Linked DNA regions of Arabidopsis thaliana. The protein of the gene in region 2 purifies or fractionates together with the protein of the main gene of each other region. This does not show direct contact. Each region holds a gene or a part of one and is shown on either strand. Other genes may lie near its edges.

The links.
Region 1: the proteins of SYP41 (region 2) and TNO1 purify together in Arabidopsis thaliana (affinity purification with western blotting, with the first as the bait; one study listed by BioGRID). This does not show direct contact.

The regions. Positions count from the first base shown.
Region 1 is NC_003070.9:8,661,225-8,678,228, forward strand, and holds TNO1 (TGN-related, localized SYP41 interacting protein), read left to right. Parts: upstream 1-4,847; coding exon 4,848-4,949; intron 4,950-5,039; coding exon 5,040-5,171; intron 5,172-5,274; coding exon 5,275-8,535; intron 8,536-8,822; coding exon 8,823-9,595; intron 9,596-9,609; coding exon 9,610-10,432; intron 10,433-10,595; coding exon 10,596-10,743; intron 10,744-10,839; coding exon 10,840-10,921; intron 10,922-11,011; coding exon 11,012-11,114; 3' UTR 11,115-11,427; downstream 11,428-17,004. Other genes in the region: AT1G24440 (RING/U-box superfamily protein), read left to right, coding at 1,116-1,195, 1,673-1,829, 1,955-2,021, 2,102-2,553; NFD2 (Ribonuclease III family protein), read left to right, coding at 2,977-3,054, 3,152-3,240, 3,445-3,853; KCR2 (beta-ketoacyl reductase 2), read left to right, coding at 12,832-13,174, 13,723-14,008, 14,611-14,680, 14,814-15,053; AT1G24480 (S-adenosyl-L-methionine-dependent methyltransferases superfamily protein), read right to left, coding at 15,216-15,935. UniProt on the Arabidopsis thaliana protein: Tethering factor involved in vesicle fusion at the trans-Golgi network (TGN) thus being required for efficient protein trafficking to the vacuole. Implicated in resistance to salt and osmotic stresses.
Region 2 is NC_003076.8:9,483,334-9,497,692, forward strand, and holds SYP41 (syntaxin of plants 41), read right to left. Parts: upstream 7,760-14,359; 5' UTR 7,272-7,759; coding exon 7,072-7,271; intron 6,888-7,071; coding exon 6,611-6,887; intron 6,512-6,610; coding exon 6,422-6,511; intron 6,189-6,421; coding exon 6,117-6,188; intron 6,021-6,116; coding exon 5,946-6,020; intron 5,829-5,945; coding exon 5,763-5,828; intron 5,671-5,762; coding exon 5,590-5,670; intron 5,499-5,589; coding exon 5,391-5,498; 3' UTR 4,800-5,390; downstream 1-4,799. Other genes in the region: AGL93 (AGAMOUS-like 93), read right to left, coding at 1-787; AT5G26955 (uncharacterized protein), read left to right, coding at 30-120, 206-441; AT5G26960 (Galactose oxidase/kelch repeat superfamily protein), read right to left, coding at 1,575-2,816; AT5G26970 (uncharacterized protein), read right to left, coding at 3,727-4,053; AT5G26990 (Drought-responsive family protein), read left to right, coding at 8,033-8,108, 8,867-9,009, 9,287-9,364, 9,685-9,947, 10,198-10,306. UniProt on the Arabidopsis thaliana protein: Contributes to the regulation of secretory and vacuolar transport pathways in the post-Golgi network, and to the maintenance of the Golgi apparatus and trans-Golgi network (TGN) morphologies. Together with VTI12, required for membrane fusion.

The DNA.
Region 1 (17,004 bases), on a different chromosome or scaffold from region 2:
TAGCAACCTTTATAACACCATGAATTTAACATTATCATCGTAGTCAATAATAAACGTTTTTTTCTTTTTATACATTAAAAAAAAAAAAATACAATCGTTTAATTAATCAACGAAACGACTGTGTTTTAGTTTCCGTCTAAAATTTAACACCGTTTATTTGCAACATTTGATAGATTATGCATTTAATTTGTTCAAATTTTCAAGATGAAATGTCAATACTTTTGAGTTTATTTTTTTATTTATTTATTTTTTATTAATTTTTTTATACATTTTTATTAATTTTGATTATGGACAAACTAGATTTTTGTAAAATTAACATTGCAATCATGAAAGTGATATTTTCAAAACAAAAGTACATTAGTCTAAAATGATACTGAAATATGAAAAGGATAAAATATGCACTACTAATTTAGTATAGAATCGATAATGAAGAGAGAATCTTCTTCCCTATTCCCTAATTGTGTTCATAATTAGCATAATATAATAAGGAAATAATGTTGGCTCTGACAGGTCACAGATATTGAAGACTTGAACAAAAAAAATACTTTATGAAAGAAGTTGATTAAAGAAACCAATTTGGTAACGGAGACCTGCCAACAGAAAGCATATAATGTTTTATAGATAAGGACAAAAGCTATTTCTCTCTACAAACATTATAACAACAACACTCATCATCATCATCCAATTTCTCATCATTATGATCTTTGAAACAGAACACCAAAATTAAAAAAGTTTGCAAGAACAAAAAAAAAAAAAGAGATAAGATTCTTCTCTCTGTATTTTTGAAAAAAAATATATATAAATTTTTTTCTTGGCTTTCACGAAGTCTCTTTCTCTGGCTGCAAAAATATCATCAATAGCGAAAAGTCGCTTCTTTTTTCTTCTTCCAAAATCTTTAATTTTGTGAAACCGAAGAGATAAGACGTGGAGAAAAGCAGACGTCTCTGTTGTTTGTTTTTGATTCATCGGGTTCTAAGGATTTGTCTGTTTCCAAGACACAAACTTTGGATTCTCTTCTCTTCCTGTTCGTCTTCTCTTGTCTTGATCCTTTTGTTATCATCATCATCTCTTCATCGAGAGAAGAGAGACGAGATTAGGGATTTAAGTTAAGGAGGATGTATTATCAGTTGACCAAGTCTTCTTACAGAGACTCTTTGAAGATTCTGGAGGCTGATATTGAGCACGCCAATGGACTGTGAGTCATCCTCTGATTCTTTCTGGGTTCTTTGATTTTTACTGGGTTTAGGGTCTTTAGTATCGATTGTTATAGTTGGCTTCGATGATTTAGGGTTTAGGGCCCCACAATTTTACATTTTCGGTCGTTATCACGAACTTAGATTATTAAAAATCGAAACTTTGCAGAAATGGTCAAAAAATTGCTAAATTTTGTGGCATGCGTGGTGTGGTCTTGATGCATATGTTGTCTGAAGAAATGGGTTAAATGTGATTAGAAGGATGGTAACTGAATAGTCTCACAATTTGTATATCTGTGGTGTGGTATTGATGCATATGTTGTCTGTGGAAATGGTTTATGTGATTCGAAGGATATAGTAACTGCTTAGTCTCAGAATTGGTATCTGTGTGGTTTGTTCTTCAGGCATATGTTGTCTGAAGGGATGGGTTATGTTAGAAGGATTAGTGTAATGACTGATTACTCTCAAATTTGATTCAGGGCTGCTGAGATTCCAATGGGAAAGAGCGGTGTGCGACTTCAGATGAAATTGGTGTGCAGCAATTTGGCTCCATTCTTCATATTCCTGCTACAATGGATGGATTTCTCATGTCTGCTTCCAAGATATTTTGATTTCTTCCACATACTCATATACAAGGTTGTTACCGCATACATAGATATCGAGTTGTGTGTGTGTGTGTGTGAAATGGTAGATTCCCTGATAGTTTCTCTCCTTTCCTCTTGGCTTGTTTGTTTTATAGGTGTCTTCTTTGTCTTGTACAGGTACGTGCTGATGGGCGGTGGAATCGATCTAGGTACGGAAGGAAAGCTACGATTAGGGAGTTTTACGGTAAGACTAAGCTCTTAATTGTGATTGTGTTTCTTCTACTGTGGGCTTAATCTTATAACTATGGCTCTGGCTAAATGCAGGTGTTATATTACCATCACTTGAGCGACTTCATATCAACTTTGCTGACTTACCGGACGAAAGCTTGTGGTATCCGAATCCAAAAGCCATCACCAAGAAGCAGTATGACATTGAAGGTAGCAGATACATGAATAGCATTGACTTGGAAAGAGAAGACGAATGCGGGATTTGCTTAGAGCCTTGCACCAAAATGGTGTTGCCAAACTGTTGTCATGCCATGTGCATCAAATGTTACCGTAACTGGAACACAAAGTCGGAGTCATGCCCGTTTTGTCGTGGCAGCATCAAGAGAGTGAACTCAGAGGATCTGTGGGTGCTAACTTGCGATGAAGATGTGGTGGATCCAGAGACGGTCACCAAAGAGGATCTTCTTCGGTTCTACCTCCACATCAATAGCCTTCCTAAGGATTATCCAGAAGCGGCCTTCTTAGTCTACAACGAGTACTTGATATGATTTTATCCCGAAACATAAATACGGGTGTACAGAGGGAGAGAGTGATCCCAGACCTTTGATTAAGTGTACATAAGAATCTGGTGATCCATTAATGTTCCTTCGTTTTAGATTATGATTTATGAAGATTGTCATAATCTTAATGTGTACCCCTTTTATTATCAAAGATCAAATGAGAAAGATGATCTTCATGTCTTCTTGCCAACATAAGCATGTTTGAAGATGAGATTTAAAAACTGTTATAAGTAAAATCAATTCCTAGAGATGTTCAATCCGGATAAACCAATGCAAACCGAATCGAACCGAACCAAACCAATTGATTGTGCAATTGTGCTAACTGTTTCAATTTATAAATCCTCAAGTTTCTCTCTCTCTCTCGCAGAACAGAGAGTGGTGAAATCAAGTGAAGAACACTAAGGTTCAACTATGGCGACTCTTCGTTTCACTCTACTTCTTCTTGTCTTCGTCGTCGGGATCTTCTTCTCCTTCTCCTCCGTTTCTCATGTATCTCCATCTCATCTCTTCTCTAAAAACCCAAACTTTTTATATTTTGTGATCCGAACACGATCCGTTTCTTATTTCTTCGTGGCGTCTTTGGTAGGTACGTGCAACAAGTGAAATCAATCTCAGGATCGAACCATTTTCCTCGCCGTTCGCGACGGATCTTGCAAAGCTGCAAACTCAAATTGGGTACAGTAACTTAAAGTCACTTCTTCTCTGTTGATTTTACTAATTTGTTCCTAAATGTGTATTGGAGGATCATAATTAGGGAAATTAAGGCCATTTCTATAAGATTAGATACTCTCTTGATGTGATGATTAAGTTGAATCACTGATTTGGTTAAATTCTATACTCTTAAAGTTGTGACCTTTCCTTTTTTTTTGTTTGGTGTAGCTACAAGTTTAACAACATCAACCTTCTTCGCCGTGCAATGACTCATGCTTCTTTTTCTCAAGAGAACAACAAAGCCTTGAGTATCTTTGGAACCCATATCATTGAAACCGCGGTCTCTCTTCAGTTTCTCGCTAAAGATATCGATATTTCCTCGAAAGCACTGGGCCGTTTGATATCAGAGGTTTCAAATGTGGAGTCCTCATGTGCTCTTGACGGAGACCGGTTGGGTTTGGGGAAGATAATCAGAGTTTCTACTAAGACAGATGCATCGAACTCGGCCATTCTTTGTACTGGCTTTAGGGCAATCTTTGGAGCTATAGCTATTGATGCTGGAACGGTTGATGAAGCCATCAAGGTTTTCTGGAAGGTACATGGAGCTCGAGCTGGAAGACTAGTCTCTATGTTGTAAATTAGAGCTTTATTAAGTCATTAAAGTCATGTTTTTTCGGATGCCAAGTTCTAAGAGACTCTTCTCCAATGCTTAGAATTTTATGGTTGATGTTAACTATTAGCTGCTGTTATGAGGGTGTAAGTGATCATACTATAGTGTTGACTCCAAAACTATCTATTTTTGTTGCAGTACCTGCAGTGACTTAATGACTGAAAACGTTAAAATGACAACAAATCAGTCAATTGCAAAGAATTATGGTGGTATCTCCATAGAAAATGTGAAAGTGGTCCAAAATGTGAGAGATGTGCATGCAGACTTGTGGATCCAACAGTTGTGAAAGATGTTATGTAATCAGAATGTGCAAATGATGCAATAGCGACACATTAGTAATTCGAACTGTTACATGTGTTGCAGTAAGCAAGTCATAGGAAATAGGGATCCCATCATCATTTACTTGTTATTATGTTGAATTTAATTGATATATTTTGTGAATATAGGATTACATATGTATTTAATGCGATATTTTGTTAAGAAGATTTTATGAGAGAATCTGTAATTATATTCTAATTTTTGTCTTACATTTGCAATATATACGTTTGACTAAAATTAAGTGATCCTTAAATTGCACATATTACCATATAAAAGTCACGTGAACAGAAGCAAACGTTTCTTATTGGACGAAACACATCACCCACTTCAATGGCACGACACAACCAAAACATATGTCCAAAAAAAATAAACGATTTTGGGAGAAAACAAAACGCACCGCGTCGGTCGTGCTGCAACGCTTTCTTCTTCTTCTTCTTACCTCGCTAATTTATTACTCACGGATCTCTCTGACTTGAGCCGTTTCACACACTTCCTTTGTTTGCTCCATTTCTCGACTCTCTCTAGAGGTCCCGTCTTTGATTACCGATATTGGCTAATCTCTCTCTCTCTTTAATCCTTCTTCGGTTTCCGAATTCGTGATAGATCTATTGGGGGAAAAAAGGGTTGGGATCGTATTTAGATAATGCACGAGAAGGATGATCTTCCGCAGGATTCTATAGCTGATGGAATTGAGAATGATGACGAGTCTAATGGGCAAGAAGAAGAAGAGCTTGATCCTGACCAGGTGAGATTTCTATTTCACCATGGCTCTGAATCGTTTATGTGGTTTGTGTTTCGTATGCTGAAATTGGGGGGATATATTGGTATTTTGCAGGGAACAGCTTTCGTTGATAGTAAGGAAGATATGTTTGTTGATGCTCCTGAAGAGTTGAATTTTGATACACCTAGCAAGGAAGCTCTTACCACAGATGACGATGATAATGATGACCTTGGAACTCATTTCAATGTCTGTTATTTTTTTTATGATTCTTTTTAAAGTCTAAATTTTTTGTTGAGTTTCCTCGAAAATTTATTGAAAGATCTTTTCTTTTTTTGTTTTCTGCATATAGATTGAGAAGGGGGATTGGGAGAAGGAACTTGCAGGGCTTCAGGAGCAGTTTAAGCTGTTGACTGGTGAGAATGATTTGACAGGTGAAGATGGGAACACTACTGTGGATATTGTCAGTCGCTTCTCGAAGTTCTTAAAAACTGCCAAGGAAGAGCGGATTCAGCATGAGGTTGCACTCAAGGAGCTTCACGGGGTTATTAGTGGGAGGGACGATGAGATTGCTGATCTCACCACAAAAATCTCTGAGCTTTCTTCGTCGCAGCCGGTTTCCGAAATGGGTGATCAGGCACAGAACTTGGAGCACCTTGAGGCTGCAACGGATAGGATTATGGTTTCTCTTAGTAATGTATTTGGGGAAGGGGAGTTGCAGTATGGTTCTTCTATCTCTGAAAAGCTTGCTCATCTGGAGAACCGAGTTTCGTTTTTAGGTGCAAAGTATACTGAGTTTTACTATGGTGCTGATCAGTTAAGGAAGTGTTTGGCTAGTGATGTGTTGGATCTTAGTTTCCAAGAGGATTTTGGTTCAGCTCTTGGTGCTGCTTGTTCTGAGCTATTTGAGCTCAAACAGAAGGAAGCAGCCTTTTTTGAAAGACTTAGTCATCTAGAAGATGAGAATAGGAACTTTGTTGAACAAGTGAACAGAGAGAAAGAAATGTGTGAGTCAATGAGAACAGAATTTGAAAAATTGAAGGCAGAGCTTGAGCTAGAAAAGACTAAGTGTACTAACACAAAAGAAAAGCTCAGCATGGCCGTAACAAAGGGGAAGGCGTTAGTTCAGAACCGGGATGCTCTGAAGCATCAATTGTCTGAAAAAACAACAGAGCTTGCGAATAGGTTGACTGAATTACAAGAGAAGGAGATTGCCCTTGAAAGTTCTGAAGTAATGAAGGGGCAGCTGGAACAATCGTTAACCGAAAAGACGGATGAACTTGAGAAATGCTATGCTGAATTGAATGATAGGTCCGTATCCCTGGAAGCATATGAGCTAACAAAGAAGGAGTTGGAACAGTCTCTGGCTGAAAAAACAAAAGAACTTGAAGAGTGTTTGACGAAACTACAAGAGATGTCAACAGCATTGGATCAATCTGAACTCGACAAAGGCGAGTTAGCAAAATCCGATGCTATGGTTGCATCATATCAGGAAATGTTATCGGTGAGGAACTCTATCATTGAAAATATTGAAACTATCCTGTCAAACATATATACACCTGAAGAAGGTCACTCTTTTGATATCGTTGAAAAAGTAAGGTCACTTGCAGAAGAGAGGAAAGAGCTCACAAATGTTTCCCAGGAATACAACAGACTAAAAGATTTGATCGTTTCCATTGACTTACCAGAGGAGATGTCCCAATCCAGCTTAGAAAGTCGCCTAGCTTGGCTTAGAGAATCTTTTCTCCAGGGAAAAGATGAAGTTAATGCCTTGCAAAACCGGATTGAAAGTGTAAGCATGTCTCTTTCAGCAGAAATGGAGGAGAAAAGTAACATTAGAAAGGAACTGGATGATTTAAGTTTCAGTTTGAAAAAAATGGAGGAAACTGCAGAGCGAGGTTCGTTGGAGAGGGAGGAAATTGTGAGGAGACTTGTGGAAACCTCTGGCTTGATGACAGAAGGAGTCGAAGATCATACTTCTTCAGATATCAATTTACTTGTTGATAGATCATTCGACAAGATAGAAAAGCAAATCAGGGATTCTAGTGATAGTTCTTATGGCAACGAAGAAATATTTGAAGCCTTTCAAAGTCTCCTTTATGTGAGAGATCTGGAGTTTTCACTTTGTAAGGAAATGCTAGGAGAGGGAGAGCTGATTAGCTTTCAGGTAAGCAATCTCTCAGATGAGCTAAAGATCGCATCTCAAGAACTTGCTTTCGTGAAAGAAGAAAAAATTGCTTTGGAGAAAGATCTAGAGCGATCAGAGGAGAAATCTGCTTTGCTCAGAGACAAACTTTCTATGGCTATCAAGAAAGGCAAGGGACTAGTCCAAGATAGGGAAAAGTTTAAAACTCAGTTGGATGAGAAAAAATCTGAAATCGAAAAGCTGATGCTCGAGTTGCAGCAGCTAGGTGGTACGGTTGATGGCTACAAGAATCAGATAGATATGTTATCGAGAGACTTAGAGCGCACGAAAGAGCTAGAGACTGAGCTTGTTGCTACTAAAGAAGAAAGAGATCAACTTCAGCAATCCTTATCTCTAATTGACACGTTGTTGCAGAAAGTGATGAAATCAGTTGAAATTATAGCTCTCCCTGTTGATCTAGCATCTGAAGATCCTTCAGAAAAGATTGACCGACTTGCTGGGTACATCCAAGAAGTGCAGCTGGCTAGAGTAGAGGAACAAGAAGAAATAGAAAAAGTAAAGTCAGAAGTTGATGCGTTAACCAGTAAATTAGCAGAAACCCAAACAGCCCTGAAGTTGGTTGAGGATGCCTTGTCTACTGCAGAGGATAACATCAGTCGGCTTACTGAGGAGAATAGAAATGTCCAAGCTGCCAAGGAAAATGCTGAGCTTGAGCTGCAAAAAGCAGTTGCAGATGCCTCCTCTGTAGCTAGCGAACTGGATGAAGTTCTTGCAACCAAAAGCACACTTGAAGCTGCACTCATGCAGGCTGAAAGAAATATATCTGATATTATTAGTGAAAAGGAAGAGGCTCAAGGCAGAACTGCTACTGCAGAGATGGAGCAAGAGATGCTGCAAAAAGAAGCTTCAATTCAGAAGAACAAATTAACAGAAGCACATAGCACCATAAATTCACTTGAAGAAACACTTGCTCAGACAGAAAGCAACATGGATTCGCTGTCCAAACAAATTGAAGATGACAAAGTTCTTACTACAAGTTTAAAGAATGAGTTAGAGAAGCTTAAAATTGAGGCAGAATTTGAGCGTAACAAGATGGCCGAAGCTTCCTTGACAATAGTATCCCATGAGGAGGCACTAATGAAGGCAGAGAATAGTCTTTCTGCTTTACAAGGAGAAATGGTGAAAGCTGAAGGCGAGATATCAACTCTCAGTAGTAAACTTAATGTATGCATGGAAGAGTTAGCTGGATCAAGCGGAAACTCACAGAGTAAATCTTTGGAGATTATTACTCATCTTGATAATCTCCAGATGCTACTGAAGGATGGAGGTCTAATTTCCAAGGTGAATGAATTCCTTCAAAGGAAGTTCAAGAGCCTTAGAGACGTGGATGTCATTGCTAGAGATATCACACGAAATATTGGTGAGAATGGATTATTGGCAGGGGAAATGGGCAACGCTGAGGTAACAGTATTCTCTTACCTTTCCAGATCAATCTTTCTTCTGTTAGTTCACTTTTTTCTACTCAAATTTACAGCTGCCCTTCATCATTCCTGTTTGCATATTTGTTGGTTCCAAAGATGCCTTAACCTGTAGCGATCTCCTATTTGTTGTTTGCCAAGGATGCAACATTAGTTAGAATCTGTTTTTGTGGGAGTTGATTAATGGAGATATTATGAAATTATTATTCTGTGAAACATTTGTCAGTATAGATGGGCTAGACTTTAAGAATTCTCTCTTGGTCAATTTGTTAATAGGCTGTTCTCTTGATAACGCTGTTATATTTCCAGGATGATTCGACTGAGGCAAAATCGTTGTTGAGTGACCTTGATAATTCAGTGAACACAGAGCCGGAGAATAGTCAAGGGAGTGCAGCTGATGAAGACGAAATTTCTTCATCCCTTAGGAAGATGGCAGAGGGGGTCAGGCTGAGAAACAAAACCCTCGAGAATAACTTTGAGGGTTTCTCAACTTCCATTGATACTCTCATAGCGACTTTGATGCAAAACATGACAGCAGCTAGGGCTGATGTGTTAAATATCGTGGGTCATAATTCATCCTTGGAAGAACAGGTGAGGAGTGTGGAAAATATTGTTCGTGAACAGGAGAACACTATATCTGCATTACAAAAAGATTTGTCATCTTTGATATCTGCATGTGGTGCGGCTGCCAGAGAACTGCAGTTGGAAGTGAAAAATAACCTCTTAGAGTTGGTTCAATTCCAAGAAAATGAAAACGGTGGTGAGATGGAATCAACTGAAGACCCACAGGAGCTTCATGTAAGTGAATGCGCCCAAAGGATAAAAGAATTATCTTCTGCCGCAGAGAAGGCATGTGCTACTCTTAAACTCTTTGAGACAACAAATAATGCAGCTGCCACTGTAATCCGAGATATGGAGAACAGGCTAACAGAAGCATCTGTCGCTCTAGAAAAGGCTGTGTTAGAAAGAGATCTAAACCAAACTAAGGTTTCAAGTTCTGAGGCCAAGGTGGAATCTCTGGAAGAGCTTTGCCAAGACCTGAAACTTCAGTTGGAAATCTCAGAGTGAAGGAAGAGAAATGGCATGAAAAAGAGGTGGAACTGTCTACGTTATATGATAAACTATTGGTGCAAGAGCAAGGTAATTTTTATCTTTTGTTGTCTCTCATTTCTTTAAATCTTCATCACATAATTACCACTATACTAAAATGTCACGTGCTGTTGCTTCGAATTGCAGAGGCAAAGGAAAATCTAATTCCAGCTTCTGATATGCGAACCCTTTTTGACAAAATAAATGGTATTGAAGTGCCATCAGTAGATCTAGTCAACGGATTAGATCCACAGAGTCCATATGATGTGAAGAAGCTATTCGCGATTGTTGATAGTGTTACTGAGATGCAGCATCAGATAGACATCTTATCATATGGACAAAAAGAGCTCAATTCTACTTTGGCAGAAAAGGATCTTGAAATTCAAGGTCTAAAGAAGGCGACTGAAGCAGAGAGTACGACCGAGCTAGAGTTAGTGAAGGCAAAGAATGAACTGTCCAAGCTAATATCTGGCTTGGAAAAACTGCTGGGTATATTGGCAAGCAATAATCCTGTTGTAGACCCAAACTTCTCCGAGTCATGGACACTCGTACAAGCACTAGAAAAAAAGATAACTTCCCTTCTCCTAGAATCAGAGAGTTCAAAATCAAGGGCCCAAGAACTTGGTTTAAAGTTGGCCGGTAGCGAGAAACTTGTCGATAAACTATCATTAAGAGTCAAAGAGTTTGAAGAGAAACTTCAAACCAAAGCAATTCAGCCTGATATTGTTCAAGAAAGAAGCATCTTCGAAACACCGAGAGCACCTTCTACCTCAGAGATATCCGAGATTGAGGACAAGGTAATATCTTATTTCGTGCTATTTCAGCTTATTCCTTGACCCTTGTTTTGTTTACGCCATCCGCTGCCATTGTGATTGGTGATATCTTATAAGTAATCATTTAGCTTCAATCTCTTGCTATGTTTTGATCTCCAAGTTTGGACTGAACCCATTTTGTTCTCAGGGAGCCTTGGGAATAAAATCAATATCACCGGTGCCTACAGCAGCACAAGTGAGAACAGTGAGGAAGGGATCGACGGATCATCTTTCAATCAACATAGATTCAGAGTCCGAGCATCTGATGAACAACAACGAAACAGATGAAGATAAAGGTCAGGACTCTGGCGTCTACATATATATCTCGCTTATTACTTAAGTATGATACCGCTCGGTTGACTCATATCTTAAACACAAATATTCTTTGGCAGGACATGTTTTCAAGTCTCTCAACATGTCTGGTCTGATTCCAACGCAAGGAAAGATAATAGCAGATCGGGTTGATGGAATATGGTAAATATACTCACTAATATCGAACAGTTCTGTAATAGCTCCCAAATATTTCCATCTTACCAATCCCCGGGTTTGATTTCTGCAATGCAGGGTCTCAGGTGGAAGAGTATTGATGAGCCGTCCTCAAGCAAGGCTTGGCGTTATGGTATACAGTCTCTTATTGCATCTGTGGCTCCTAGCCTCCATCTTGTAATCAAGACAGGTGACTCTTAGGTCTCTCACATGAAACTACTACACACAAAAGAAACACATAAATTGCTCTCTCTTCTCTTCTCTATTCTTCCATTCTTTGTCGACCCGTAAACAGAGAATGATAGGTGTCGTCTTGTATATATAACCTGAATAATGTCTCGATTATCTGCGAGCTTTTTTTCATTATAGTTCTTCAGTTTCTTAGTCCTAGAATGTTTAATTAGGACTCCGAAAATGGAGCAGTAAGTTATTACAGTTTGTTTTTGTTTGTGTCTCAAAGTTTTTCAGAAAAGTGAAACATATGTTCCATGACTTAACATGTTTTGTGTCGGCAACGACTTTTAAGTTTCGAATGATTTTGTAAACAATTTTTTGAATAGTAGTAAGTAGTATGATCTAACGAAACTAATCATTTTGACTCTTTAATAGCCTTTGACTTCGAGAGTAGCGAGAGAGAGAGACTTATTGACTTCATACCTACCACTTATTAACTATGTTATCTATTCCCAAAGATTGAGCTTTGGAATTGACGTATTCAAGCTTTGCCTCTACTATAACCAAAAGCAAGAGATAAATTAACTTGCTCTAACCAGAAAAGCTCGTCTTTAAACAATAGAGGCGACTAGAGGAAAATACATTTTTTTTTGTTTGCATCTATTGTGTATCAAAACTAGAATCGAATTTAACTGATGAGCTAAATTAGCTAAACACAATATAGTAACGTGATTAATGTTGAAATTCAGAAATGGAACTAGATTATTAAATTTTAACACCAAAAAGACTGTCCACCAATTGAATGCATAGTCCTTTTTATAGTGAAAAAATGTCCCAACCCCAACCTACCAAATTCCCAAAAGAATCATATTCTTCCTGTTGTATTTGAATTTTGAGTTTTGAGCAACACAATAACAACTTTTAATTAGATTTTATTTTCTTTTTAATGAAAGATGACTTATCCAAAATAGTTTGATGACTTGGTCTTTTCTTGCAAACTAAAATTTTTGTCTGATACTCTCTTGTTAGTCATTTCAACTCAGTTTGTAGAAACCATCGTTATTACTTATTAATGCCGAAAATCTGCCATGGAACCAAATCATTAAATTTAACAAAGAACTGTCCAAAAAAGGGTAATTTAAAGATAAATTATTTTCATTACAACAGTATTAATGTATTAGAATTATTAAATATAAAACAAATTAGCAAAATTAAAGAAACAATATGAAAATAGTAGGCAAAACATAAGCAAAACAAATTTTGGTCAAAAATAGAAATTTAAGGTTCAAAGTTGAGATAAATAAATGATTATTGATATAGAAACTAAACTACACACAAAACTGTACGTAATAATACAAAATATTACAAAAACATTCAAATTTAATGGTATATAGCCGTATTACTTAGATGGCAATTGTGTAATGAATGAGATCATAATCTTCCTTAAGACGGCGTTACCCAACCTACCAGTCTCCCTAAAGATCATAATCTTCCTTAAGACGATCACTTATCCTATATAGTACATGTTGATTTGACCTTTTCTTGTAAGCTATAATATATTGTAAAACACATTTTGTATAAAGAAAATTAAGATTGAGCAAGGAAAATAATCTCTCTCTCTCAACTCTAGTTTTCCTACTTAAAGAGTTAGTTCCAAACCAAAATGTCATGACAAATAATCAGCTAACAAATATAGGAAAAAAGAAAGAAAGAGAAAGCAGAACATGCAGGGAGCATGCATCTCCGAGAGTCAGCCATGGTATCTCCATTTCGTATGCTTCATAGGCTTTCTCTTTCTCCTTAGAGTACTATTCATTCCTCTCCTAAAATGGTTCACCACAAGATTCCTCCTCACACCCAAGCGGCTCAAGCGGTACGGCTCATGGGCTATGGTCACTGGAGCCACCGAGGGGATCGGACGCGCCTTTGCTCACGAGCTGGCCAAACACGGCCTTAACCTCATCCTAGTCAGCAGAAACCTTTCGAAGCTCGAATCTGTCTCTGATGATTTCCAACAAGAGTTTCCCCACATCAAGATCAAGATCATTCCATTTGACTTCTCCTCTGGTAACAATAATAAATACACTTTCTTACTTTAGGTCAATCCTATAGAACTAGTCTATACATAGTTATCGACATTATGTGTGTGTGTGTGTGTGTGTGTGTATTAATACTAGTACACGATTGCAATATTGAATAAATATTCTTGTTTCAACGACCAGGGTAAATATACCATTACTCAATATGAATCATTTCAAATAGTACACAATTACACTTATTGTATCTAGGTGTGTGTTTGTCAGAGATTTGCGAAAAAAAATAGTACATAGTTACACTTATTATGTGTTTGTAAGAGGGCAAAAACAATCGATTTTGTTATAGTTTTGCTGGAAAAAAATACATGATATTTACAAGATTAAACAGAAAATTAAATATTTAGAAATATATTTTGTTAAATGACCTAGTAGTTGTTTAATGCATATTTATTATGTCATTTGGTAATTTTAAGCTATTTTCCGTCTGCATAAATATACATAGAACCCAAGAAATGTAGCATACATAAGTCTATATATGGAATAGAAAAGATGTACTTGAAAGAAAGAAAAACTGTGCAGAAGGAGGATACGGAGCAATCGAGGAAGGGATAAAAGGCCTTGAAGTTGGGATTTTGATAAACAACGTTGGTATTACTTATCCACGCGCCATGTTCTTCCACGAGGTTGACCAACTTACATGGACCAAAATCCTGAGGGTTAATCTTGAAGCCACCACTTGGGTCACACGATCACTCATCGGACCAATGCTTCACCGCCGCCGTGGAGCCATCGTCAATATTAGCTCCGGCGCTGCCGTTGTTGTCCCTTCTCATCCCCTCTACGCCATCTACGCTGCCACCAAAGCGTAAGGACTTACCACTTTCACTTTTCTTTCACCAAATGCACATTTAATACATCATCATACCTATACTAGCTAGCTAGATTAAGGTTTCCATTCCGTTCTTTCCTTTTCTTGGTAGTTGTTGTATAATAAATACGAAAAAGCATATTAGCAGCACTTGTGTGGAGCTTGAGCATTGACGATCCAAAAGTCTCTAATTTAATTTATTGATGTGTATATATCTCCCCCGATTAAGACACGTGACTTTCTTATTTCTACTACTGTTATATGGTAAATGCATGCTTAAAAAAAAAAAAAAAATAAATTAAAAAAAAAAAAAAAAATGCATGCTTAAAAGGAATTGAAGTATAATCATACGATAAAACCTCAGTCTAGACTGAAGTGTTGTTCGTAAAAAATGACAACTAACATTTTTACTTTGAAAGCAGTAAATAGTAGTTTTCCTTTTCATTGCATTAAATATTACTACTGTCTAGATATTTGCATTAATCATGATTTAAATTGTTTAATTTGCTCAATTATTCATCTAACTATATCATTATATTACCTACCTGAGCGCAGATTGTCTCTGTCACATTAAGAAATCTCTAAACACGTGTATGCAGTTATGTGGATGCACTATCAAGATCTCTACATGTGGAATATAAGCAGTTTGGTATTGATGTCCAGTGCCAGGTACTTTTTCTTCTTTTTTTTGTATTCAAAGACTATCCAATATATGTATTATAGCATATTTTTGTACTCCCTCAGGTAATACGTAAAAGATTTAATGTTATAATGCACGTACGTGTGTAAATCAAATGGACAGGTTCCCTTATACGTGTCAACAAGGATGGTGTCAGAAGTGGCAGCTATAGACAAACCTAGCTTATTTGTACCGTCGCCTGAAGTCTACGCAAAAGCGGCGGTGGCGCAGATCGGAATTGGATCACGTTGCTCGCCGTTTTGGGCTCATTCTCTTCAGTGGTTTCTTGTTGGACTTGTACCGGATAACCTTGTTGATACTTGGCGTCTCTCTATCGGACTTCGCAGAAGAAGTTTATCTTAATGATCATATTTTCAAGTTTGTATTTGCTCCTCCACCTTTCGTGGATAAATATATGGCCCATTGGGCCTGACAGAAAAAACTTATAGAACACAATTTGCCCTTTAATAATATTTCAATGTGACATAAAAAAACAACAATATATTTAAGTACGAAACAAATAATTCAAGACCGAACTAGGATGGATGAATCCCTTTTCTTCCTAAACACGACCTCTGTATCCAACCCAAAGCCGTCCACATTTCTTACATGAACCACCTCCGATTGTCGGAATAGTTTCACCAATGCCTCCACACTGAAGAGATCATTGGCTGAATACTTATCCGATCGTGTAGAGAGAGCCACGTGTAAAACACATAAACCTCCAGGTCTCAGTGTCCGTTCGATCTCTCCAACAAACTTGTCCGGATAAAGTGCATGATCAAACACGTTGGAGAATTCAAAATCAAAAGTCTCATCATCGAACGGCTGGTGATGAAAGTCACCTTTGACCACCAACGGCGGATATGGCACCAGATCCATTCCCACCGAGTCGTTTACGCCTACACGTTTCAGGGCCTCCACTTCTTGCCCGACTCGAGCTCCGAGGCAGAGACATTTAGAGTCTTTGGATAAGAGGCCTTGACGTTTCAGATCTTGGAAGAATCTTGAGAACACTTTGATCTTACGGTCCCAGTCTCGTGTCATCCATATCGTACGAAGCCTAGGGTTAAGCGTTTTGTTGAGCTGTCGTTGGATGTAGTAATCGTAAGACGTGTAACCTGGTCGGATCCTGATGAGTTCTTTTTCGGGTTTACGTAGTTGTATAGAGAAGAACAGGATGAGAGGGAGAGTGAGGAAGATAGAGACTAAGACGTATTTCAGAATCGGCTTTGGTTGCTTCATTTCCTCGAATGAGAAATTTGCATACACAAATCTTTCTCTCTCTCTCTCTCTACAGGTGCATGAAAATGGAGGGAAGAAAAAGGTGTACTAAAAGGCAAGGCAAATTGAGAATATCTCAGCTAATGTTTACACGACACGTTCCCAATAGTAATGATTAATTATGTTAAGGTTATTAGTTTAACACTTAAGAGAAATAAAATGAATAATTACAATGAGGATTGAGAAAGTGCGTGTAAAGGCAGCTTTTAATCTTAACCGTCGATTTGCTTAAGTAGCATGCAGCTCATCTGCTAGAGATTACCATATTATAGTGTAAACTGTGAAGTGGGAAGGTGATCATTTCCGATTTCTTCATTTTCAATTGGTATTTGATACCTATGAGTATCTTATTTAGTTATATGTTCTAAATGTACTCGGAGATTTTGGAAAATTCTTCTGTAAACAATATACTAGCTTGGTTCAAACATCTCAAATAAAAATACATTTGTTATGATCTTAGAAATGTTTTCTTTATTTTGATGTGTGAACAAATGTGGAATTACTATTTTGAATCTCTACTGTGTGTGGGTGTGTGTTAAACCTCTATTTTTAGATGCATACATTACTAAGGAGTGAATTATCTATCTTTACATTGCTCCAATATTTCGAAGAAATGATATATCCTTATAATGATCCCAAATAGTTTTCTACCTGTATTTGTCTTGATAAAATAAAATAAAAATTACTTCCACTATTTTAAAGATGATTAGAACGATAATTTTCTTTTAAAAAAAATGGTAGCTAGATAGAAAAAGAAAGCAAATGAGAACACGACATATGTGACTGGATGACTTTTGCTTTGTAGATAAATTAACTTAGCCAAGCGGTCCAAACGTTAAAAAAGTTCAGTTGAATTCAAATTATCAATTATCAAAAAAAGAAAGTTCAAGTTGAATTCAAATATATTAGGCTGACTTTTAAAGTGTGTACGCATTGGCTTAATATTTTATTTTGTTGGTAGATAATACGATTTGCTTAACATTGCCATTTAACGCCAATACTTTCCAAAAGTTAAGTTGAAAGATGAATT
Region 2 (14,359 bases):
TTTGTGTCTGCATCTGAGGAGGAAAAACCATGGGAAGATCAAAGCTACTTCCCAGACCAGATCCTTGTTCCCCAAGTAAACCAGTACTCGTCAAACTGTCAAAGCTAGAAACAGAGTCAGGTACTTGATAGAAGCTACAGTTGTCATGGTTATAGAGAAAGACAGAAAATTTGCTCTGATTTTGACTCAATGATGACGTCGATAGGTCTTGCTCTGTGTTTGACACACCACTCATCAATGGTTCTGTCCGTTGTTGATGACGATGATCCTCAATTAGCGAAGGAGGAGGAGACAATGGATTCGTTGTGGAAGAAACCGCACGGGTCTGACCAAACTCGGTCTGGTTTTTCTCGGGTTGGAGTAACAGAAGCTTATCTTGTAGTACTCGTAGACCACTTTCTAACGAATCCTCCATCTCTAAGACTTTCTCCGACAATTTAGTGTCGTCGAGGATCTTCTTACGTAGAAACAGAGAAAGGTTGGTTCTTTTCTTGCATCGCTCTCTCTCGTGTAATCTGCTAAACCTCTCAGCCATGTCTCGAACTTTTGATTGATCATCCGGCCATGTCTTGATGAGTTTTCCGTCACGACCATAGTATATGACACAGACATCGATGTTGCACAGAGTCGAAAGCTCGAGGGCTTTCTTAAACATGGTCTGTTCTCTCATAGACAAATTCGTGGTCTTTTTTGCAGTGGAAGAAGAAGACAGGGACGATTTCTTGAAACAAGTTTGGTTTCTCACAGACAATTTGGTTTTCTTCTTCGTCGACATTGAAGAATCCATTGTTGTTGTTTACCCACAGAAAAAGAAGAAGAAGATACCTAGTTTCTTATCAGAGAGAAACCTAGAAAATAAACTCTTAGAATAATAGTGTAACTAACACACGGTTCAGGGTTATATAGAATTGTGAAATTATAGTATTTCCATATAATATTTGATATTGATTTTACTAAACCAAGAGAGACAAATTGAGCTGTGGGTTTTATTTCCTTTTTCTTTAGAGTATCTTTTCTTCATTATATGATGATGATATTAATTAATCTAACCGTTGGCATTTTTCAGTAATTGTAATAAAAATCTTCTTTTTTTTTTCCTGATCACGTGTAATAAAATCCATTTTATGATTGATATCAGAGAGGAAATCTAATTTAGATCTGATTTTCATTTACCAATATCAATCTAACCGTTGTAAAAAAAAAATTCTACATATTTTACTAATATTTTAATTAAGGTCAGCAAAAAAATCTTGGTTGTCTGCACTATTTTTTATAAATAATTGTTTATAGTTTATTAGTATAGAAAAATATAAATTAGATCCTATTTCCATTTCACTAATATCAATCTAACCGTTGTAGTAAATATTTTCTTATATAATAATTACTGATAAGATTTGATTGGGAAATAAAAATAGCCAATAAGGTTACGAGCTCAAGAAGACGCTATTGCTTTTCATACAGTAAACATGTGCACCAATCATAATGATATTGTTTTTGCCCACTTTAATATATCCTGCGTACGTTGGCATCTTCCAACTTCTCGTACCCATAATCCTGCGCCGTGGTCTCCACTCTTACCACTCCACACACGCACAGGCGGCGCGTGTAATCATCTCAGGTAAATCCGCCGCTCTCCTCCACTCTCCCTCCGTCGTATCATACAGCAACACAAGGCTTTCTCTAATCCCTCTCTCACCCCTCCCACTCCGCCGAAGCAAATCGTCAATGCATCCCACCACCTGAACCACCGCCACTTTATCTTCCACTCCGACGCAGCTAAACCTCACCGTTCCATCTAACCGCACCTGTGCCGGTAACGGCGGACTTTTCAGCCTCTGCCATTCTCCAAACCCGCTGTTTCCACCACGACGACGCGCATCAAATCGCCAAAACGAAAGCTCCACCGCGTGACTGGTTAGCACATACACATATCCAACCGCCGCACACGCCGCCACTACACATCCACCACCAGGAACCGAACGACTCCTTAACCACTGACGCGACTCCACATCGAAAAGATCCATAGAGCTCGCATAAGCACGCGCCGCCACCGCGCGTGAGGTCTCATTCCCAATTTTCAATCCACCGATCACATAAAAAACTCCGTCAACGGCTGCTCCGATGCAACCGTATCTCTTCCTCGCCGATTGAGTCACAACTTCCCACCGATTCAACTCCGGATCATACTCTTCCACCGCCGCCGCAACCTCCGAACCACCACCACCTCCAGCAACGTAGATCTTACCAGAAACAACCGCGATTGCGAATTTCTTCCGAGGGAAAATCATCGGAGATCTCAAATTAAGCGTTCCCATCCACGAATCGTATCTCAAAACAGCATTTCTACTAACAACATAAACCCTAGGTCCAATCGCCGCCGCGCGAGCATGAGATAAACTTCCATAACTACCGTCAACGCCAACAGACCTACTCGAAACCGCAAGAGACACTTTCCACGACGCAATCTCGGACTGAAACTGCAAATCCGCGGCGAAAAGTCCTGAATCGACGGTGGATATCGCGAAGAGAGAATGTCGGAGCAAACCTAAACGACGACGGAGATGGAGAAAGTAAGGAGAGTGGAGGAGACGAGACCAACGGCGACAAACGACGGCGAGAGAAGGAATTGAAGAGGAAGGGACTCTTGAGATACATTCGAGGAGTAAATCGTCAGGTAGAGAAGCGATTGTAGCTGAAGAATTCGCCGCCGTGGACGACGGTTGGTGGATCTGGACTAGTGATTTGGCGTCGGAGGGATTTGGTAAACAAGATTTCATGAGCCATGAGAAATGGCGAGAATTGCAGTTTTCTGACATCAGAATTATCTTCAGAGAACAAATTTAATTCTAAGATATGAAAATAAAATAAATTATTATATCTGTGGGAGTTACGGAGTTGAGAGGGAAGTGTGATTTAAGAAAGTAAAAAGACTATGCACTAAATAAATAAATAGTACATACTGCTTTATACTCCATATACGTACACATGCAAATTCAACTACTTAGCTTTCGTTTATGGGTTATCTACTAAAGTACTAATCCTCTTTTAATATAATTAATGAAGTAATCTTAACTATAACTTTGTATAGTTTAACTTATATTAGGTACTAACTAGATCCGGCCATGCAGAAAATTATACAGCTAAGACTAAAAAGGATATGAATTTCACTTGTTTTTCAATTTTTGATAGTAACTCATACTCCATTGGCAATAAAACTACAAGGCCTTAAATGATTGTGGTTTTTCAAAAACATTTCTCCAAAAAAAAACAGGAAATCTAGTTTTTTGAGTGGTTTTAAGTATGTTTCCAAGACAAATTACAATCCATTTCCATATTTTTTTGGTTTTAAGTATGTTTCCAAGACAAACTAAAATCATCAATTAATTACTTAAATAATTAATTAAGTACCAAAGTTTTTTCTCTCTCTTCTCTTTCTAAATTCTTTCAGAGAGAGAGAAACCTCAAACTCACTTTGCCGTCCGAATTTTTTTCCGGCTACCGTCTTCTCTGATAGGGATTATCGTCTGGCAATTACCAGTTCTTTCCGGTGTTGGCCAGCTCTTGTCCGGTATCATTCAGCTTTCACAGTGATGATGGTCGGCTATGCCGTCAGCGTTCTTTTGCTGCTTTTTGTTTTTTCATAAATTAGCTTTGCTTTCAATAAATCTCATTTGAGATGTGTTGGTGATAATGATAGAGCGGTTTTCGCTTTTTGTTACTTATTATCTAACCTGTTTTTCTTTTTGAGTTTAGAATTGCAGGAAACAAATCAGAGATTTGAGTTGGAAAAAAAAGTGATTTCCGTTGCATATTAACATTACCTTGAGCTGTTGTTTCTCTAATTAGGGCTTCGATTATTTTTACCGGTGAAAACCCATAAGATTCCATGTTTGATTTGTTAATCGACGTTGAATCTTCACCGGAGTCGATGTTTGACGGCGAAGGATGAAGTCGGGAAAACTTTGGATTCTCATCCAGTACGTGTATTGGTTTCTCTCCAGCAGAAGACACGTGGCTTTGGATAGAGACAAAAGATAATATTTCTTCTTCCATAGACGGTTTCTCTGTTGGGCTTTAGTTGGGCCTAATATGTTTCTGTAGCTTTTTTGTTCTGGGGTATTTCATAATCCATGTAATATTTGACTTAAACAATAAAATTATCCCTATTGCGAAAAAAAGACTAAAACCATCAACTACTTTTTTTCATTTTATTTTTGTAAATAAATATATAACCAATAATTGGTAAACATCCATTGTAAATAAGATAACTATATTTTAAATGATAATTGGTAAACATCCATGCACATGTTGTTTGAGGTTTTTTTTTGGTTATACATGTTCAAGGATTTTATTGAAGCACTATATATAATATAAGTTTTAAATTTATTATATACATGCTACATTTAAAAAAGATAAAATATTATCATAAATTTTAAAAAATTCTTAGATATGTAATTTATTATATTTAAAGGTAATTTAAAGAATCATTAGAAACAGATAAAAAAAATAATGTGCTATCCAGGATAATACTATCTTTTTTAAGCGCTGATATAATCATTATTTAATTTTTTTTTTATATTTTTCTTTTAAAAACCCTCCAGCTAATTATCTACAAAAATAATAACACAAATTTAATATTAAAATTATAATTTTTGTCAACAGTATGATTATAATATGGGTTTGAACCATGATAATGACACAATAACAATACAAGTTCAATTAGGCTATTTGGCATGACCAATTTCAAACTAGAGTTGAGAACTTGAGATGTAATTTAATTCATATTAACTCATCACAAAAACGTGTATAAAGTTTTCATTGTTTCAAGTGAAAAATATTTATACATTTGTAAATGATATATGTTTTTAAAAGAACTAGAATGTTGAGAATTTGTAATTTATGCGAAGATACAATAACCGGAAAGTAAAAGATTTCAAACAAACTCGTTTTCACATTTGAATACTCCACCATGTAGTGCTCGCAGCTACGATTCCATCTTGCCCGAAATCTGGTCACTCCAATGAACGTCTTCACCGGAAAATCCACAAGTTACAATGGTCAAAACCATTTTGTCAAAAACAAGTTCCAACAACTATGACTGGAATCTTATACATTTTAAAAGAACACTTGACTTTAGCGTGAAGAGAGTATTTTGGCGTTGGTGCACAGATCTCTCAACTCCTCAGACATCGACCTCTGACTATCTATGGTCTTCTTCTACACAATAATATTACGTACTAACTACTCTGCAAAGGATCTTAGTATTGTTAAATGCAAAGAAGTTGAAACCAAAAGCCCTGAAGGAAAACATGCGATGTTCGGGGCTAAAGAATGAAATAGTTAAGGATCGAACTTTTCTTATTGATCTAACCAGGGATTATAGTATCCGATCACAAGAATATTTCCTTGAGGATTAAGAGTAGCAGCATGATGAAACAGAGGATGACAAGCACGGATGCGCACTTCACCATACCTCCATGTCTCTGCGTTCGCTCTGCCTGTGAAGTTTTTTTATGCGATCCACTTCATTTAGAATTGGGACAAACAAATAGTTGGACATTAATGTTGAAGAGAGAACACTATTTTTACCTTCTGTAGTTGTTTGAGACCATCTTCAACAGTAGTAGCGACGTTTTCGATATTATAGTCTATCCGATCAACTATTGTACCCTGCAATTAAACGGGTTGCTTTGAGTTTGTTTTTCGAAAGGAAGAAGACTCAAAAGCTAGACAAAGAGAATATGGGATTAAATAAGTTTAACCTGATCTATCACAAGTGCAGAAAGATCCTTCATAATTTGAGCAAGATCGTTTACTGATTCTACAACCTGGACAATGACACAGACAACGAAGAAGAAAAAAGATTATGATTGATTGCAAAAGAAAAAAAAAAACGTTGGTGAGCTACAAACAACTAAGAACAAAGACGTAGTGCAAGCACTTGCCTGTTGTATCTCTTTCTCCCTCTCTACAGATACTTCTTCACTCTTTTTTATCTTTGACATCTGATGCTCGTTTAACTAAAAAGGAATCGAGAAAAAATTCCATCAATAAAGAAGACATAAGACGAATGATTGCTTTAAATCGATAGAATGAAACAGGTATAGGAGTCAAACCATATCGCCAAAGTCATCCTCTTCAGGTCTATATCTGTTTCTGCTCAGATTCATCTCTAAATCCATCCCATCCTGATAAATGATAATACATTTCAAGTCAAAGCTTCTTGAGAGGACAGAATAATATACTCTGAAAAAACAAGTACTAAAAGAATCTATCATCTATGAAATCGATGTAAAGAAGTTTCATTTGAGGCGGAGGAGCAGAAAGCAAACAAAAACTTCAAAGAATGAGACACTGCAACATCACATAGTTTCCGGTATAAGAAATGCCAATTACACTAAAATAGATAATAGTTTCATACCTCTTTTTGCTGCCTCAAGCGTTTCAAATATGTTGACTGTTTTTTGCGAAGCTCCATAGAAAGAAGTTGGAGGTCAGTGGCAAGAGACCGCTGTTATTAAACACACATGATAAATCTTAGATAGCAATGGCAAATGCAGCAAAAAGAAAGGAAATGTGTTAAGAGCAGCTTCCATCAAGTCAAAACTACCTGCACATTTTTCCTAACATTTGAATCTTCAGAAGGCCCTGAAGCAGAAAGCCTCTGAAGTTGCTTCTCAGACTTCTTCAATAGAAAAGTTATCTCCTGTGTCAAAGACTCAATATTATGTTGATCTTCTTTACCATCCCCAAACGATGGCATTAACGCCTTGGCATGAGCCTTTCCCAACTCAGCCATTTTAGTCCTTGCACGCTGTATATTCACAGATATCTCCTCAGAGACATCAACCCAAGCTGGTGGTAAGCCCACTGTTATCGCACCTTTACTAAAACATGACCAAAAATATCTCAGTAACTACTAACTCTCAGCTTAACGTAGCTCACAGACATTTACTTCAACTACACTATCAATGATGTATTATCATTCTCATTGCTAAGCTAATCATTTCCAGTTAACCCTAATTGATCAAATTGTTCACCATTTTCACTGATAAAGAGAGAGAAGAGTACCTAGAAGTTCCAGGATCTTCGGTACTAATAGGAGCGTAAGAGCGATTCGGATTCAATAACGAAGTACTCGCCATCTCGATCACCGGACCAACGCCGCCGGATCGTGTTCCCGTCAATGAAGATGACGACAATGGAGCTCTGACGCTTCTCAGAGAGTTTCTGTACTTCCTAAACAGCAACGTACGATTCCTCGTCGCCATGATCGTCAAAATTTGAAATCCCTAGAATCTCAATTTCACATCCAAATTCGAAATCAGCTCCGATCTGAACACAATCGCGGCTTCATCATCGACCGAGAATAAAACCGAACACAAAAATTGGGACTCCGACAAGGAAGTGCTCGGAGAGCGGCGAGATCAAAACTTTTTCCGATGAGGAAAGTAAACTCTCAGATTTGCAAATTGAGGTTTTCACTTTTCACTATTTCCCCAAAACTTAAAACTTTGGAAACAGTAAAAAAAAAAGTTAAAAAACAGTTGCGCGGCTAACTTTGTCCTGTTTCACCAGCTTACCAAATACAAACCAATAATATTTCGACACGTAAGCGTCGTACTAACAGCATGACGTTTTGATATTCCAAAAGGGAAAAACACGGCGGGTAAAAGGTTTAAACGGCATGCATTCGTGCGGGCTGTTAAAAAACAATTTAATACATGTAATAGAACTCATCTCTTCTATGTCTTTCACTCTCTCTCTCTCTCTATATCCAAAGAATTAAAAACCATAATAAAAAAAGAAGATAAAAAGACGAATTCCAGAAAAAAAAGACGCAAAATCGTCGTCGTCGTCTTCGTCTTTGCATTTCGTCGGAATCTTTTGATTCTTGAATCGGAATATCTCTGTTTTTGTTTTATCCGGACTCAAGATCAATTCGGATTCTTGGAATTTATTTGATTTTTTGTTGTTGTTGTTGAAAAAGTGGATTCTTTGGTTTCGATTTGTAATAATCTTCGTAGAAAAAATGGATTCTGATTCTTGGAGTGATCGTCTCGCATCGGCTTCAAGAAGATATCAGCTCGATTTCTTGTCTCGATCTGGTGAGTTTGATAAAAATTATAACTTGGATTTGTTCTTTCTTAATTTGAGATTTGATTGGTTTTGTCTTAAATTTAATCTTGATTCTATTGCAAAAATATCAATGATATTTAGACCTCAAATTTGTTTTCTTTTGAATTGATCAAGGATCGAGATTGACTGTAAGAGATTGACATTTTTGTTACTGTTCTGGTTTTCCGAACAAAATGGGACAAGACATTGATTGTGTCTTGTTCTGAATATTTGAAATGGTGATTGTTCAAATGTTTGTTTTGCTGATATTGAATTTAAGGAAAATGGAGGAAATAAATTCTGTCTTTTGAGGCATTTTACTAATGTGAGGCTTTAGGGATTGATTAAGCGTGTGTGTTTTGTTTCTAGGTTTTGGTATGAACTTAATGTCAAAAGCTGGAATCTTGATGATTCTTGTTTGACTTACAAGTAAATACAAAACTTCTTGTTGGTAAAAACGTTTTTAAAAGCTTTAGTTTCATCTCAAACTTAGACGTCTTTGCCAGGGAAGGTTTTATGATCTACTAGTTTCCATTCGTTTATTTAGATATCTTTGATGTTTCTTCTGAAACCCATTTGTATTGGAACTTCGAGAATGGAACGCGTTTTTAGTATTTCCCATTTTATTTTCTAGGCTTTTGTTTTGTAGTTGTCATTTTATTTTCTAGGCTTTTGTTTTGTAGTTGTCACATTTTCGAATGTTCTCTTGGCCGTGTTTGACTAGTTTCTTCATTTTTGAAAAACGCAGACAATTTCTTGGGGTTTGAGGAGATAGAAGGAGAAGATGACTTCAGGGAGGAGTATGCTTGCCCGTTCTGTTCAGACTATTTTGATATCGTCTCTCTATGCTGTCACATTGATGAAGATCATCCTATGGATGCAAAAAATGGGGTAGATATTTCCTCAATGTTACCTTTCTCTCGTTTTGAATCAAAATCTATTTATTGTTTCATCATATCATTCTTGGTAAGAGCACTGTTCTATGTTTAGTAGTTACTGGTCTTGGATATAAAGAAAGTGAAAGTAACCTAATGAAATGCGTCGAAATAGTATTTGGAATTGCCACTCAGTGTTCCTCAGAGAAGAAATCAACTCTAGGACACTTGTTTATTGCTACAATAGCAAGATTTGTTTTCAATTCTGCGTTTTGACATTGTTAATCTTGTAGGTATGTCCCATTTGTGCGGTGAAAGTGAGCTCTGATATGATTGCTCATATAACCCTACAACATGCAAATATGTTCAAGATATCCTTTTTGCTCTCTCTACCAGTTATATTTTTAACGATCATGTACTTATCTGATTCTTCCAATGAGTTGTGTTAATGATATGAATACTTCCTGATTTATGATTTAGGAAATAGTTTAGGATTTACTTTTCCTAGAGTCTTTTATTTATGTTCTGTTAGAAGTAAGGGTTAGGTTTTGTTTGTGAAACCTAACCAAGCAATTGAGAGCTTTGGAGGATTCTATTGAGTTTATACTCTTGTTGCTTTATTGTTCTATCTTTTCTACTATCATAATAAAGATTTTATCTCTAACAGTTACATTCCTTAACAAAATATTACGTGACGCGGAAAAGGAAATCAAGAAGAGGCGGGGCTCAATCCATGCTATCGATCTTGAAGAGAGAGTTTCCTGATGGAAATTTTCAGAGCCTATTTGAAGGAACATCACGTGCTGTATCCTCTTCTTCTGCCAGTATAGCTGCTGATCCTTTACTGTCTTCATTCATTTCACCAATGGCTGATGACTTTTTCATTTCTGAGTCAAGTCTATGTGCAGACACAAGTTCTGCCAAGAAAACATTGAATCAGAGTTTGCCTGAAAGGTATGCTTCCACATTCTCATTTGGATTACACTTCTGGATGATATCCTCATTGATTTCTTGATCATTCTTGTTAAGTCATCGCATATTACTCATCCTTAGTTTTTATGAGCCTTAATGGAATTTAGTTGATCCCTTGTTTTACCAATAACCTAAAAGCTCTTGTGATCTGAGTGTTTTTTTTGTTGTTGTTGTAGAAATGCAAATTGCAGAGTTTGTTATGATGGTTCTTGTCTTGATCTGTCTTATACAGGAATGTTGAGAAGCAGTCTCTTTCAGCAGAGGATCACAGAGAAAAGTTGAAACAGAGCGAGTTCGTTCAAGGGATATTGAGCTCTATGATTCTTGAAGACGGCTTATAAAGGAGAAACATATTCCGGTAACTTGTCTACGGTTAGATGATTCAGCGATTGGAAAATGTAACGGCTTTGTTGTGTTAAACGCAACAATTGATTTGGGAAAGGGTTTGGGAATAAGCAGAATAATGTAAAAGAGAGACATGATAATGAGTATTATTTTTAACTTATGAACTACATATTTGCTTTAATGAACACTCGAATTGTCTGTACACCGTAGGTCTTACAAAAAGAAACCAAAAAAAGGTATGTATTTGATCATATATTTGCACTGAGTTTTCTGGTCTTACTATGGTGTTTTGTATCAAAAGTTTGATGAAACTATTTGGGGTTAGAAAGATCGCAGAGTTTTAATTTTCGGTTTTGACAAATTAAAAATGTGTAAACCAACCAACTAGACAAGGACATAACCTAAAGGATAAAAATTGAACTAAGAATTGTAGAGCTTTACCCGGAAGGGAGCTCTTCCAGAAATTCTCGAAGGCCCAAGACAAGCTTAGGCCTAGGAGGGGGTTTGGAAATAGTTTTCAACCAGCAATAGACGCGCCTCGGTTAAGACCTCATTAGCTGCGTCATTGCCCCAAGCGCAAAGATGACTTTCTACAGAGTGAGAGCCTCTTAATTTATAGCCAAGCAAAACCTATGAAGCCAATATATGCTTCCGATGTGGGACTTTTTGGTGTACCAAACAATATAATGTACACGTCGTCACTTGAGTTCCTGATATTTCTGTTTTGTCCATATTGAAAACAGGTTTCTAACCTAAGGCATAACAGATTGAGACTAATTGAATGGTAGGGGCTGCGCGAACGCAAACCCCTTCTGCCACAAATAATGACGTAGGATCCTCCTCAAGGGAAGACCTTAGGCATAGCACCCCAACGGTATGTGCAATGCGGTCACTAGCCTAGGCCACTCGTCTTGTTGATCGCGAGTAGACCCCGTCCAGGTAAGTAATTTGCTCGAAACGTCTGCTTCTCTATATATACTCTGCGTCCCCTTGTCATTATTTTGGATCTAAGCGATGTGGGACTATTTTTGTCAACACATCGTCGTTTTTTAAGCTCCTGGTTTCCAACAACGTACTACATGAGTTTTTTTTGTTGTACACATGGGCCGGATGTTCTAGGCCCAGTCAATGTCTGCGTTAGTTGTTTAGTTGTTGTTACTTCAATATTGATGACCACAGAATAAATTCAGAATCGGAAGAGTGACAACACAATATATTTTCGTATTGACTACTATTGTTCTTTCTGTCTTTGTTGATCTCCTGACCTCTACGAAGACAAAACATCTAGTAGAACTTTAAGCAATGTATTTGCATTGAAGTCTTAATACTAAATTATCCCCCAAAACGTTATGCCAAAAAAAGAAGAAGAAGAGGCAACCTTATATTTCTAGCCCATATCCATAAATATGAGAATTAAGAGAGTTGTATAGATTTGTTGATTGATTGATATAAGAATTTGTTCAGAGAATATGAAAGAGTAGTGTGTACATTTTGCCTATTGCCTCAAACACTTCTTTGAGCCGGATATTAATAGTGAGAACTATATTATTTTTTAGTATGTGCATTTTGTTTTTGTAACCAAGATGTTTCGAGTTTTGGGTTGGAGACCATAACATGTTAATTAGTCTTTTCTCCGCTAACAAAACTCGAACTTGATACCTTGAGGCGCACTTTGTTTGGAAGCTCCACTCGAACTTGAGAACTTAATAGACCATTTTCTTTCAAGCATTGTGTCATCCAATTGATTTTTAAAGATCCAGCAATCGTTTTAAAGTGTTGGAAATACCAAAATTTACAATCCAAGGAACTATAATCTTACTAGTATTGATCTAAAACTATAAATAATTATATAGTCAATTAGATAGACACTTAGTTGCTATCACAACATTCGCTGTTATGTTACCACAACAATCTATTCAAGGCCAAAGTGTTTACGTCGGGAGAGACAGTAGACCTTGTTTACTATTCTTAATGTTCCATTCCCAAAGATAAAGTAGACACTTGAGGACCCTTTCCAAAGCCCTAAACAAATCAAAAGTGTTTTCCAAGTACATCAAATCATTATCATCTTAACCTCTTTTGTCGTCTTGTGTCCAATCTTTAATAATTATGCTAAGCATTGTTATTATCTATTTATGTATATCGTAACTAAGTAACACCCTTAGATATCTAAACAGAGATAAACATGTCATTAGTGAAAGTGATGTTTGGTCTGTGTCTCCTACTAATTAGGAAGCAAATGAAATGATTTCTTCCACTTAGCAATTTAATTAACTTGATTAAATTCTCCCCCAAAAGAGCTAATAACTGCCTCAACTTAAAACTATGCACTTAAGGGTCTTAATTGTTACAAAATTAGTAATAAACGGTCCCATTTCGGATGCAATAATCCATTTATTATTAAGATCCATTGAATTGGACCACTAAAACGTATACATACACACACACATAATCATAAATATATCAAAAGAAACTATCTATCTAAGCAAAGCTATACTTTTACAGGTTGGTGTGTTCACTGTGTTTGGCAAAAAGGGTCATGTTCATTTTTAAAAGTTGGTACTTAGATTTCTGTATTTTCAATGTCAATAAAGAGACATTCTTGATTTTTTTTCTTCTAAAAGATATGATAATAATACATGCAATGTAGATATTATTATCCCCACTAGCTAAAATCTTATAACAGCATATTTATAGATCATGGAAAATAATTCAATATTTTTGTCTATTTATGGGGGAGATGACATGTAGTTAAATAGTGCAAAACTAATTTTAGTGTAAAAGTTGAAAGAAGAGAAGAAAAAAGTGGAGGTTCAGAAATTGATGTGTGCTTTTTATGAACTGAAAACTTTATGTGCCTAATCCTCACTTTAGCCAGCATGTTTCTGGGCTGCCTTTTTTAGTGGGCCATTTGATTTCGGCCCGAGTATTTATTTTAATGTAATCCTTAATCTAAACCATTGATTTTATAATTAGCCACGTCGATCGAAAATACGCGCCTATTTTTTCTTTCCTATGGTTAGGATCCGAAGCTTGGGTTTGAATATATTTTTATACTAGTTTTCAAAAACTACTGAAATATGCATGCCCAAAGTTATAAATGACTGCAAAAATTTTGTTATATCAAAGTTTCACCCAATAATAAGTTATGTATAGTAATAAATAGGATGAAATCATTAAAAAGATTTTATGATATAAAATGAGATAAATTTGTGGAATCTACAAATCATGCATGTACTTATATTTTATAGATGGATAGGGGATACTAATGTTTGTGATATGCAGAGAGTTAATTCTCAGCTATAGAATTATAAATGTTTTAGATTGGATTTTGTAATCATGTTTTTTTCAAGTATTAACATTAATTAAGGATAATATAAATGTAACAACATAAATTTAACTTCTTCATATGCACTAATAATTGTATTGAATCATTATTTAATGTCAATATGTTACGAAGTAAAAGTTATTGGGAAAAAATCGACTAGTAGATTCATACATTGGAAAACAGGTATTATGCGAATGTGACTACGAAACAAACTTATAGTTTGGAAACAGTGGATTGATTTGATGAAAAAATATATATAAATCCCGTATGCGAAGTATATAAATTTATTAGAATTTATATACTTCACATAAGTTAGTTTGAAATTCTCCTAAATGATAAAAGTATGTATTCAAAAATATTTATATAGTTTTAATGTCCATGTTTCATAATCCGATTAGTCAGTACCTAATGATCAAAATTTATTGAAAATATTTTATTGAAATCACACACTACTCTACACAAATATTCTTAGGATCCATTACATAAATGGAAAATAGTTGTAACTTTTATAGAATAAAAGAAAAAGATAAATTATTTTATTCCACTCATTAATATAAAATAGTTTATGGAATATTTTTTCCTTACAATATCCTCAGCTGTGTTGTTAATAGAATAAGTATCCATATTTGTCCAGATTTTCAGCATAAATGGTATAAAATACTTCTCAATATTTTATTTCCCTAACATTTACTCCTCTTATTGTATAATCATTTGCACCCTT